Arabidopsis thaliana: one gene and its partner. The protein of the gene in region 1 interacts with the protein of each later gene in a pairwise test. Each region holds a gene or a part of one and is shown in the gene's direction. Other genes may lie near its edges. The genes, in order: AT3G23060 and AT5G45490.

The links.
Region 2: the proteins of AT3G23060 (region 1) and AT5G45490 interact in a two-hybrid assay, tested with the Arabidopsis thaliana proteins (one large-scale study listed by BioGRID).

The regions. Positions count from the first base shown.
Region 1 is NC_003074.8:8,198,521-8,203,835, forward strand, and holds AT3G23060 (RING/U-box superfamily protein), read left to right. Parts: upstream 1-2,115; 5' UTR 2,116-2,347; coding exon 2,348-2,453; intron 2,454-2,843; coding exon 2,844-2,943; intron 2,944-3,021; coding exon 3,022-3,436; intron 3,437-3,520; coding exon 3,521-4,023; intron 4,024-4,087; coding exon of another isoform or gene 4,088-4,110; coding exon 4,111-4,161; intron 4,162-4,249; coding exon 4,250-4,322; intron 4,323-4,401; coding exon 4,402-4,596; 3' UTR 4,597-4,815; downstream 4,816-5,315. Other genes in the region: CFM3A (CRM family member 3A), read left to right, coding at 5,028-5,315.
Region 2 is NC_003076.8:18,426,905-18,432,792, forward strand, and holds AT5G45490 (P-loop containing nucleoside triphosphate hydrolases superfamily protein), read left to right. Parts: upstream 1-2,142; 5' UTR 2,143-2,218; intron 2,219-3,812; exon of another isoform or gene 3,813-4,137; 5' UTR 4,138-4,159; coding exon 4,160-5,224; downstream 5,225-5,888. Other genes in the region: AT5G45480 (transmembrane protein, putative (DUF594)), read right to left, coding at 1-2,025; AT5G45500 (RNI-like superfamily protein), read right to left, coding at 5,732-5,888. UniProt on the Arabidopsis thaliana protein: Possible disease resistance protein.

The DNA.
Region 1 (5,315 bases):
TTTCCAAAACAATGCTAAATGCAAATAATATATCAAACAGAAAAGACCCAGATTACACAAACAATAAATATTCAAATGATCTGGACTCTGGAGATAATACGTGTTTAGTTTTGAAAAAGCAGTTTAAGAAATTATAGTAGCATGTCCAATTGTTTACTAAATTAAAACCACAAATTCGAAATGTTTATGTTATTATGATATTTGAACTGCTATATATGGGAGTTTGGACTCTTTTATTTCTGTTTCTGTTTTTGTACTAGACTTTAAGTTTCTGAGTTCAATATATATATAATCAGCATATTAACAATCATTATCATGTACGTGAAGTTTCATTCCAAAGATTTATTTTTTTGACTTAAATATCTGTTTTCTTAATTTCGTACGACCATTCAATTCTTGCAATGTCTAAGAGAGTGGCCATAGGAATTCAAAATTTGATACATGATGACACTTTACAAATAAATCCAAACTAGTACAAACCCAAAAGCCTCATGAGGCCATAATATGCAAGGCCTAGTTTACATCTTTTAGAGGTTCGTTTATTATAGTTTACTTTCCAGGAAGGCCCTTTTATTTACACTTAAGAAAATAAAGCGAAGGGAATATGTTGACACACAAAATAAGAACAAAAGATAGGTGAAAATGTTTTTCTTTTTTTTGAAAATCTACATTGCACTATTTTTGTTTTATGATAAATTAGATTTTAGACATGAAATATCTCCTCATATATCAAACACTTCACAAAAAGGATTCACAAATATTTTCACGTAGTATTCTTTATATACCAATGTTTTGTCTATAATACATTTAATGTGAATTTATACAGGACTAATGTAAATTCTATAAAATCTTATCATAAAATTCATTAAGGAGATTCAGAAATATTTTCCAAGAGACATTGTTCTTGTACTACACATTTCAAAACACTAATAAAAGTAGCTTAAACATTATTTTTACGTAAAAACAAAAACCAATTCCTAAAACTGTATTCTTGTAAAGACATGTAGGAAATATTTATAAATATTCTCTCTAACTCGTCAAATAATATATGAGATCATTTTTACACATGTAGCATCAGTTTAGGAAAAATATAAATTAAACAGTATATCTCGCATAATACAGAAATTTGGTATGGTCCAATATGAAATTCAATGTATATACATGAAATTGTTTAGAAAGATTTGGAATTTTGACAAGTATATTACATGCGGATATTTTTCTTGAAATTGAACAAACATAGAAAGAAATTTACAGTGTATTTAGAGATTTTAAGTCAGAAATACGCATTTAATTTAATTTTACTTACATAGTAAGAAATCTAAAATTTCATTTGTTAAATACGTAATTGCTGACGTCAAAAAGATGTAAATTTTATAGAAGAATTTAAAAATTTTGAACACGTAAACTACATGTAGATATTTTTCTCGAAATTGAACAAAACGTACATAGAAATTTACAAAATATTTAAAGATTTTAAGTCAAAGGATAAGCATTTAATTAAATTTTAAATAGTAAAAAATCTAAATTTTCATTTGTTAAATACGTAATTGGTGACGTAAGAAAATGTTGTAAATGTTTTAGTAAGATTGAAAGTTTTTGACACGTAGATATTTTTCCCGATATTGAACAAAACCTACATAGAAATTTACAAAAATCTTTAGAGATGTTAAGTAAGAAATACTCATTTAATTCTATACTACTTAAATAGTTAAAAAATCTAAATTTTTATTTGTTAAATACGTAATTGCTTACGTAAGAAAAAATGTAATTTCCTTATAAATTAGTAACGGCCAAAACATAATGATTATAAGTTAACAAAAAGAAAACTAAAGAGCCTGAAAAATAAATATAAAAATATATATACAATGTAGACCTTTTATGAACAAATTTGTAACTCTATATTTGAAAAACTTTGCAATAAATTGTTAAATATAAATTAAACCTAATGCATCACTCATGTAATCATTGGCATAAAAACTATAATATATTTTCTTTGTGAGCCACCGAAGTTTAGCTTTCTGTCACTTTGACCCTCTCTAATTATTCATAGTTTTAAAACCAACCCTCTCTAAAAATACTTAAAAGCAAACTCTTCCAAAATCAAAACCTCTTCTTACACAGATTTTTTTTTTCTCTGAGAGAGACAGAGAGAGCGAAACTTGAGAGACCAAAATCCAATCTTTTCAACAATCGATTCTCTCTGAGAAAACCAACAATAAAGCTAGACACTTTTTTTTGTGGGTTTGTCTTCTTCTTCGTTCATGCACCATGTTGTGTTACGTGAACGAAGAAGCTATATAATCAATAAATCTTATCGATTTGTTGAGTTTGGGAATCGGAGAGAAAGATGTTAACAAAGGTGCTTAGTAAGGAGGTTAAGCCATGCCTTGCTTGTCCAATCTGCACTAATCCGTTTAAGGATGCCACCACAATCTCCGAGTGTCTCCACACCTGTAAGTGTAACCCTTCGATTGTTTTTTCCTTTATCTTTGTGATTTAGATTCTGATTTTTTGTTTGTGACTATCTCTCTGTTTATTGGTTATATTAATTAGTGTAGACTAGAGATTATATCAGATTGATTCTGAAACTTGGAAGTTGAAACCGATGTTTTGTTTAGCTTTTTGGTGTTGTTGTGTGTGTTTCAACATGTATCTGTGTAAATATTAAGGTAAGCAGATAAGGACTGTTTTTTTTTGTAAGTGGATGATTCAGTGTCTGTTTATGTCTTTGTGATTTCAAAGTTGCTGTTTCTTTAGCTTGTTATGTTTCTAGTCCTGGCTTTAAGTATTGGTATATCTTGTGTCTTTATATGAATTGGGACTTGTGGAATTTGTGGTAACAGTTTGCAGGAGCTGCATTCGTAACAAGTTCATAAATGAGAGAGTGAACGCTTGTCCAGTCTGCAACGTTAACCTCGGTGTTTTTCCTCTAGAGAAACTTCGGTATGAACTTGTTTGATTCTTAGCATTTGCATCTATCTTTATGCTTTTATGTGATTTGAGGTATCTATATAAGTGCAGGTCGGATTGCACTTGGCAGGATTTGAAGCTGAAAATCTACCGAGCAATGATGGAAAGCTTAAAGAAGGCAGGACCTAAAACTGTTGCAGCGTCTGTGAAATCTTCGAAAAAGAAGAGAAAATCTCGAACTTCACTGCGGGTCTCTTCATCTAGAGTATCATCCTCACCTGATACTCCATTGGAACCAGCCAATGTGGTTGTGGAACCACCTAATGTGGTTGTGGAGGAGAAACATAGGGAGACCGTTCTAGCTCTTCAAAGCACTAGAAAACCGATAATCACGTTCCAGAAACGTGGGAGAAAAGCTTCACTCCCGAAGAAGATTGATTCGAAACCAGAACCCGAACTGCCTCCTAAGGAGCCTAAAATTAAGAATCTATTTGACCTGAACAACGAACCTGAAGACAATGGATTGGTAAGTATGTATATGAGTCTTTGTATAACTATTGTTCTCCTTTGTTAACTATCTGTTTGCAACTAATGTGTTTATGCATCTTAGGACGAAGCTGAAGGATCAACTTTTCAGGAAGTCGTACCAAAGGAGAAAGATCTTTGTAAACCTATTTTCTCTCTCTCTGTCACTCTAAACATCAACGATACTCCTCCTGATATCGTTGAGCCTGAGATAAGTTCGGATGACGACACAGAGGAATCTGTTGAACCTATTCAGAACAAGTGTGTTGTGAATAGAGAAACAAAGGAAGTTCCTGTTCAAGTGAATCAAAACAGTCTCCTTATTAGCTCTGATAGGGATAGAGAGGACAACTCTGGTCAGAAACTGAAGACCAATGGTGCTGCTACCTCCAGATCAAGGAAGAAGAAAGGTAAGAAACCGGTGGAAAAGAGCTATTCTTTGAGACCCCGAATAGGCAGGAGGACGGTTAATCCAGCAGCTGGTACTACTACACCAGAAGCTCCGGTTTCCGTGGAAGAGGAGATGAAAGTTGAAGAAGGACGTAACAACAATCCAGTTTGGTTTTCACTAAAGCCTTCCAAGACTCAGTAAAACTTTTTTTCTATCTTCTTTTTTCATGTCTTTAACTTATGATTCTGTTTATATTTGAAGGACTCGGTTTCTTCGGTTTTCAGGAACATTGAAATGCTACTTCCACCGATCACCGCTTGCTGCATAAGAGTAAAGTAAGTACTAATTAAATTTCAACTATAATCTCTGTTGTTGTTGTAGAATGTGTGATATTGATTCTTTGATTTGTTTTTATGTTCACAGAGATAGCAACATGACTGTCTCATATCTCAAGAAGTATCTAATGGTGAAGCTCGGTCTCGAAAGCGAAGACCAAGTAAACTAACTCTTCTCTCTATCTATGTCTCACTCTCTCTTGTCTTTTAACTCTAATATTTTTTGATGTTCTTTTGCAGGTGGAGATATGGTTAAGGGATGAGCCAGTGTGTTCGTCACTGACACTACATAACTTGGTGGATTGGTGGGTCCAAACAACTCCATTGCCTGAGCGACAAAGCGCGATGGTCGGAAGCTCCGCTGCTGAATTCATCATGGATCTCTATTACAGCTTCAAATCTGACGCCTCTGACTCTGGCTCTGCCTCTGAATAATTCTTCTCAGAACTTCAAACTTTACTCTTCTTCTAAACTCATTTCTTGCAGAATAAGTTTCTTTTGAAAGACTTCTAGTTTTAGCATCTTTCTTTATTTAATAATTGCTGAGACCTAAATATGGAAAACTCTTTATTTATTTGATTTGCTTGCTTTTTGAGGACTCAAACGGTATCGTTTTGTACTAATTAAATAGAAGCTCATTTTAGCTAGCTTGAGTTATATTTGATAAGATGCGCCGGTTTTGTGCTCTGTTTGGTTTAAGGTAGGGTTAACGAAAGATCTGTATCCAAACAGTCTTCTTTTTTGCCCGCCATGGATAAACACAGAGCCAGGAGCTTAGTGACGAACTAAAGGTGAAATTTTTATTGAAAGTTTCAATTTTTATATGGATTGGATTACAGAAACATTTCTATGTGAATAAACCAACAATGGCGATGAAGCCCAGTCTCCATTTTTGCCCAACTACTGTCACGAAGAAGTTTGTCTACTCGTTTCAAAGCTCCTTCTGCTTCCGTTTCTTAAGGTATAGTTCATCAATTTCACTTGGGTCTTGTAAAGGTGTTACCTTTAGTTCGAGAAATGATCAAATTGCATCGAGGAGGTTTAGCTTTAGTAGGGATTGTAATAATGGTGTGTGGCTAGAGAATTGGAATAGAATTCAGAAACGTAATCAACCTAAACCTCCAAAGGTAGTTGTGAATTATCGAAAAGAAGGG
Region 2 (5,888 bases), on another chromosome or scaffold:
AAGGCTCTGATCGTAATCCATTTCCATCACATAGCGTAGAAGTTTCTCACGTTTTTTTTCTGTTTCTGGGTCACCTTGTATGTCGCGCAGTGTCCAGTCACCTCTTGCTGAAGATACCCTCATGGCGCTTTCAGAGTCGTCAGCGAAACGGGATTTGGCTTTAACCTCTCCGAATATGTGTTCCCACATATCCAGGGTGAGACGATCACTAGATGTGTAGATCACCTCATCTAGCTGAGCTCGGATGCCAAAGAACTCCATAAAACTTTTTATCCAGCGTCCAGGTAGACTAGGAATGTAAAATATGCAGAAGAAGCTAAACCTAATGTACTCTTCATTCAACTTCGGGTATTTCTTGCATAAACGACTTACTTTACCGTCAATCCACTTGAAAGTCTGATGAATTCTCTGTTTTGTGACTCTAAAACAGGATTCAATGACACTTCCAAGTTTTGTGAATGCGGGGCCAATGTAAAGTATGTTGATAACCTTGTCAAAGGCGATGTGTATGAAACCCTTGGTATGGTGGATTCGCTTCGGTTTTAAACCTAGGCAGTATTCGATCAGGTTGTGTGCATGTACATACTCAGACCACCGGCGATACATGAAACTCGTGTCGAGCACTTTATGACATGGTATTGTCTTGGCACTCTTGTCGGGCACTTCCTGACCTGGTATTTTGCTGGTACTCTTGTCGAGAACTTCATGAGACTTCTCTGTCTTCAACTCCCTCACCCTGAGAATCCTGTTAAGAATCCTTTTAAGAAATGGTGTTTTCTTAGTACTCGTGTTGGGCACTTCATGAGACTGTGTATTCTTGTAGCATTCATCATACTCCTCCACCTTCAATTTCCTGACCCCGAGAATGTTTTCAAGAATCCAGTTAAGAATGTTGTCGGACCAGGTGGGTGGATCGTCCACTTCGTCCTTCATCTTCCTCAATCTGACAAACGTCCAATCAGATGCACAGAACATGATAAGAGCGATGCAATCCAGAGCTATTCCTCCTAACAGCAATGCGTAAGTAAGGCCAACATCAAATCCACTATAATCTTTCTTGCTCTTGTATTGAAAGATGCGTAGAGCTGCTGCAAGGCATCCCAGGGCAATGAACCTGAAGAGGAATCCTATCCAGTTGTGCAAGATCTCGGCTTTCGTGTATAGAGCTGCGTAGATAAAGTTGAGCTCAACCTCTAAGATTCTTAAAGCTTCTTCTGCTTTCAGCGAGTCAAAGAATCTCTTGCTCTCAGCTCGTTGTTGAAATGTAAAGATGAGATCAACCACAAGACCTTTGAAGATATTAAAGTACTTGTAGGCGTACTGGAGAATATTGAGTGGAGTGAACCCGTCAGGAGGCTTTACCGGAGCATCGTCTCTTGGATCTTTCTCAGGCTCGCCAACCTTGATAATCTGTGTAGGCATCTTCATATCTTTCTTGGCTGCGTATTCCTCCATGAGCTTTGCGTAGTTTGGTCCAGGATCAGGCCGCTGAATCATGGAATCTTTGAACTTGTCAAGACTCGCCAGGTACAAAGCTAATGTCCTCTCGACATACTTGATCACCCCGGTCGCAAACACCAGCAAAATAGGTTTCCAAAGAGCATTGGGTAACGACTGCAAAAGCACGTAAACGGTTGCAACTGATTGAAAGAAAAGACCCAACAAGTGCCTGAGCCAGAGCTCGTTATCTTCAAGGGCAAGGGCAGTGATTGTATCTGGACCACCGAGATGCAAGAGCAAGAAAGGAACCCAGAAAGCAAACAACTCGGCGCTCTTTTTCGGTTCTCCGGGTTCTGGATCATCTCCTTGACTATCTGAGATTTGTCCGGCGGCGAAATTGGCAGACCAATCAGCAAGAAGGTAAGCTGACCAAATGAAAGAGAGTAAAACTTTTCTGGATGAGCGTTTTCTTTGAGGTGCAAAGAAAATGAGAAATGTTTGAAGGCTGAGACTGAAGATTAAGGTACTTCGAATGCTCCATTCGTCCCAAATGTCCTTGATAGGCTTTGGGATTGCGTTCACCATCTTGAAACTGATTTGCTGAAACAGACAAGAACTGATGGTTTATGAGATCTAACACAGATACATCTAAAGAGGTTGACTTCTTTCTTTTTCTGGTTTTACTATGAGTTTTTTTGCTTTTGAGGCTTTTTGTTGTGTGTGAAGGTTTGAATTATTCTGGTTGGACAGCCATTGGAGGCTACTTGGAGACCTTGAGGTTAGTCAAACAGTTCTTACAGGTCTCTAAGTTTTTTCTTTTTTTTTTGGTTTAATTTTCGAAAATTTATCTGATTCGTGTCTGTTGCTAATTTTTACTCTTTACCTCATTTTTAAAATGTGAAGAACAAGTATTCAAAGAGCCCACTGGTTCTTTTGATAACGAAATGATATGAAGGGAATATATGCTATATTTGTTTTGTAAAAATTATAATGCTATGTTTATCTTGTCCTCTTTTTGCATAAATTTATTTAAACTAACTATTTTGAGTGGTTTTATAGAAACATATTTTATTTTTAATCCCTTTTTTATCTAAATATTTCTCGTCTTTTTCCTTAAAATCACATGGTTAAAGAATAACACTGCAAAAGTATAGTAGTTAGATATACGATTACGAGGTTATCTCAATGACCTTAGACATTGGAATGAGTGACAACGGGAAAAGTTTTCACATCTCAATATTTGTTACTTCTCCAAGAAACCACTTTTAAGTTTTTCTTTAAAAAAATTTCTAATTATATATTCAAACTTTATAATATTTCTAACTTTCTCTTTTTTACCCGGCAACCAAAAATGGAATTAAATATATCGAACCATTTGTTGACCATACTTCTTGCTTCGTTATTTTCTAACGAAAATCACGTTTTCTAGTGGAACTTACTTGGTACTTTCCCTTACTTGGTAGCAATTCAATTATTATCACATGACGTGGCCAGTAACGTTAAATTCGAATGGATATACAGAGTATTTATGGCTATGGTCTAAGAGTCATTTATTTTCTCCAATTATAGATAATTTTAAAAAATTCCAAAATTAAATTTCCCCACCAACCATATTAATTTTACTTACGAAAATATTTATTTTCTCACGTCTTTGTCTCTCATGTGATGACAAAATTTCCAGAAAGCGAGTTGGGATATTCAACTTTATATTCTAATATTACCTATTAAATATAATAATAATCACAGCTGGATATAAACTAAAAAATATGTTACACTTGGGTTGGATGTATTAACCATGGTAGAGTCGGGCATTTTAATAATCGAAGCTTTAAAAGTATAGTAACGACGACTTTTGTATGTCAATATAACGATGACTTTAGAGATGTAGGTCTTTTAATTATATTTTCCTAACGAAATTGTTGTGTATATATTAACGTGGGAACGATGTATCTTGTCGTTAATATTTATTTATATTTATTAGTAAACTTTTATGCAAAACAAGTTGTGATTATACAATAATCAAACACGTCTGTTTAAAAATGAAAAAAACGTCAATTTGATTTTAGATAATTGTTTTTTTTTTCTTTCTTAAATGATAAAAACTCTTTTGTTCTTCAAAGGTTTTACATCACATCAATTTAAAAAAAAAGGCACTTTTCTTAATATCATTTTTAAAGTTTTTGTTCTAAAAATACTATATTTTAGTTTTTTTTTTCAAGAATATCACAAATTCATATTAAGAAGACTCTTTTGAATGGTGGAAATATTGTAATTTATTTTGGTCAAACAAACATTTTTATACAAAAATTAGTGGTATTATTGGGAAAATAAACTAGTGATAATATTTTTGGAACAAAAAATTAGTAATGTGATATTTTCGCATTTTTCTAAAAACATTTTTTTAAAACAATATTGATTATAATTTTTCTTGCCGGCTATCGGTTTTTGTCTATTTATCAGCTTTTTGAAAAGATTATAATTATTTATACTATAATATAACCTGACGTAATTTATGAATTTGGCCCAATGTCTTTTGTTACCGATTCAATCTGTCTCTAAATAACTAATTTTCTATGTCCAATCTACTAAAATCAACTTAATTGTTGTAGTTCAAAAGTGTTCCTTACTTAATTCTCATACCTCTCTCTCTCTCTCTCTCCTTTGCCTAACCATTTCTTCATCATCTTCTTTCTGCAGATTTCTCCGTTTTTCCTTGAATATGCCTTCAAAAAATCTACAACAGGCAGTCCTCACAAACGAATTCACAACCAACTTCATTACGACCTGTAAGGACTGGCTCGACGTAAATGGTCTTGCTAAAGGAAACTTGGAGAAGAAGAGAGATGATAATGAAGAAGAAGAGCGTCTGAAAACCGAGTCTAAACTTCCGGGCCATGACATCCACGGTTTCGATAACGAGATCAAGTCATTGCAACACTTCTTGTTGGATCAGAAGGTTAGGAGGGAGTTCAAGAGTCTTGTGATTGTCGGAGAATATGGTGTTGGGAAGACAGCATTATGCCAGAAGATCTTCAATGATGAAGCTGTGAAGAGTGTTTATGCTCCCAGGGTTTGGGTGTCTATGGAAAACAAAGAATCTAAGGAGGGACTTGATGGGAAGATATGTGTGTTGAAGAAGATCTTGAAGGGTCTTGGAGTTGAAGAGTTAATCCTCGAAACTATCAGTACTGATGCCAAACAAGAATTTAAGGACAATGAGGAAGTTGCAAGCAATCAGGAAGCTGGAGAAATTGATAGAGAGACGGAGAAAGAGAAGGAGCTCTCTGCTCTGCTCTATGCACTTCACTTGAATCTGAGGTGGAAGAAATATCTGATTGTGTTTGATGATGTTCGGGAAAACGATAACTGGGACGAAAAGCTTGATGCGAAACTCAAGGAGGATGAGAAATGGGGAAAGTATCTTTCAGATGGATTCCCTAAAGGGTCTGGTGGGAGAGTCATATACACGACCAGAGATGAGAATCTGGCGAAGAACCTTGTTGCTCAGAAACATGAGATCCATCGTCTTTGGCCGCTGTCTGATCATCAGAGTGTCTGGAAGATATATGATGCAGTGGTTAAAGATAAACAGAAAGAGTCACCAAGGAACGACAAGAAATGTATAGATGAGCTGATGAATAAGTCTCGTGGTCTTCCTCTGGCTGCCAGACTGTTGGCTGAGCGTGATCCCGTCTTTGTTGACGATGAAGTTGGCCCTGTTGGTTCTACCCATGGACAAACCGACTCATCGAACCGCCAACCTGCAAACCAGGCCAGCTCCTGAGAAGTGGATAACTTGACTCAGCCTCTTGGCTCAAGATTGCTTATTATCAACCTTGCTTATGCTTCTTTTATTTCTTGTATGTGTTTCTTGTTTGATGTTGTCTGTTTGTTACACTGTTGTTATCAAATAAACCAGAATCTCTGAGTAATGTATCTTGACCTTTCAATTAGCAGAGAGACTATTAAGAGAGCTTCTTTCCTTAGTACTCTTGCATTTGCAGTTTATCAGAGTTTCTTGCTCTTAGCCTCTCTTCACTTGTAGACCTTCTCAGTAAATTATAATATATTTTCTTCTTCCTTCGTAGCTTCTGTAAAACACAAGTATCACATAATAAGCAAAGCAAATTTCCATTATTCAACTGTTCACAAACAACAACACTTGCACGCAAAACCAGAAAGACATCAATGGGAAATGAGGAAGCAAACACACAACAACAACAACAACAAAAGAAAAAGACAACGAGGAAGAAAACTTGATAAACCGAGAAACTCTCAGTTCTGAGATGCTTTAGACTTCATCTTCTTCAGGCTTGCGCCAGATTCCAATTCCATCGCAGGGGCAGAGACTAACTTGAGGGCACTGATACTTCTCCAAGAACTTGAGTTCCGGAAAGTACCTTTTGCTCAAATCCCTCCACTCCACTTTTAGTTTTGGAAGAAACTTC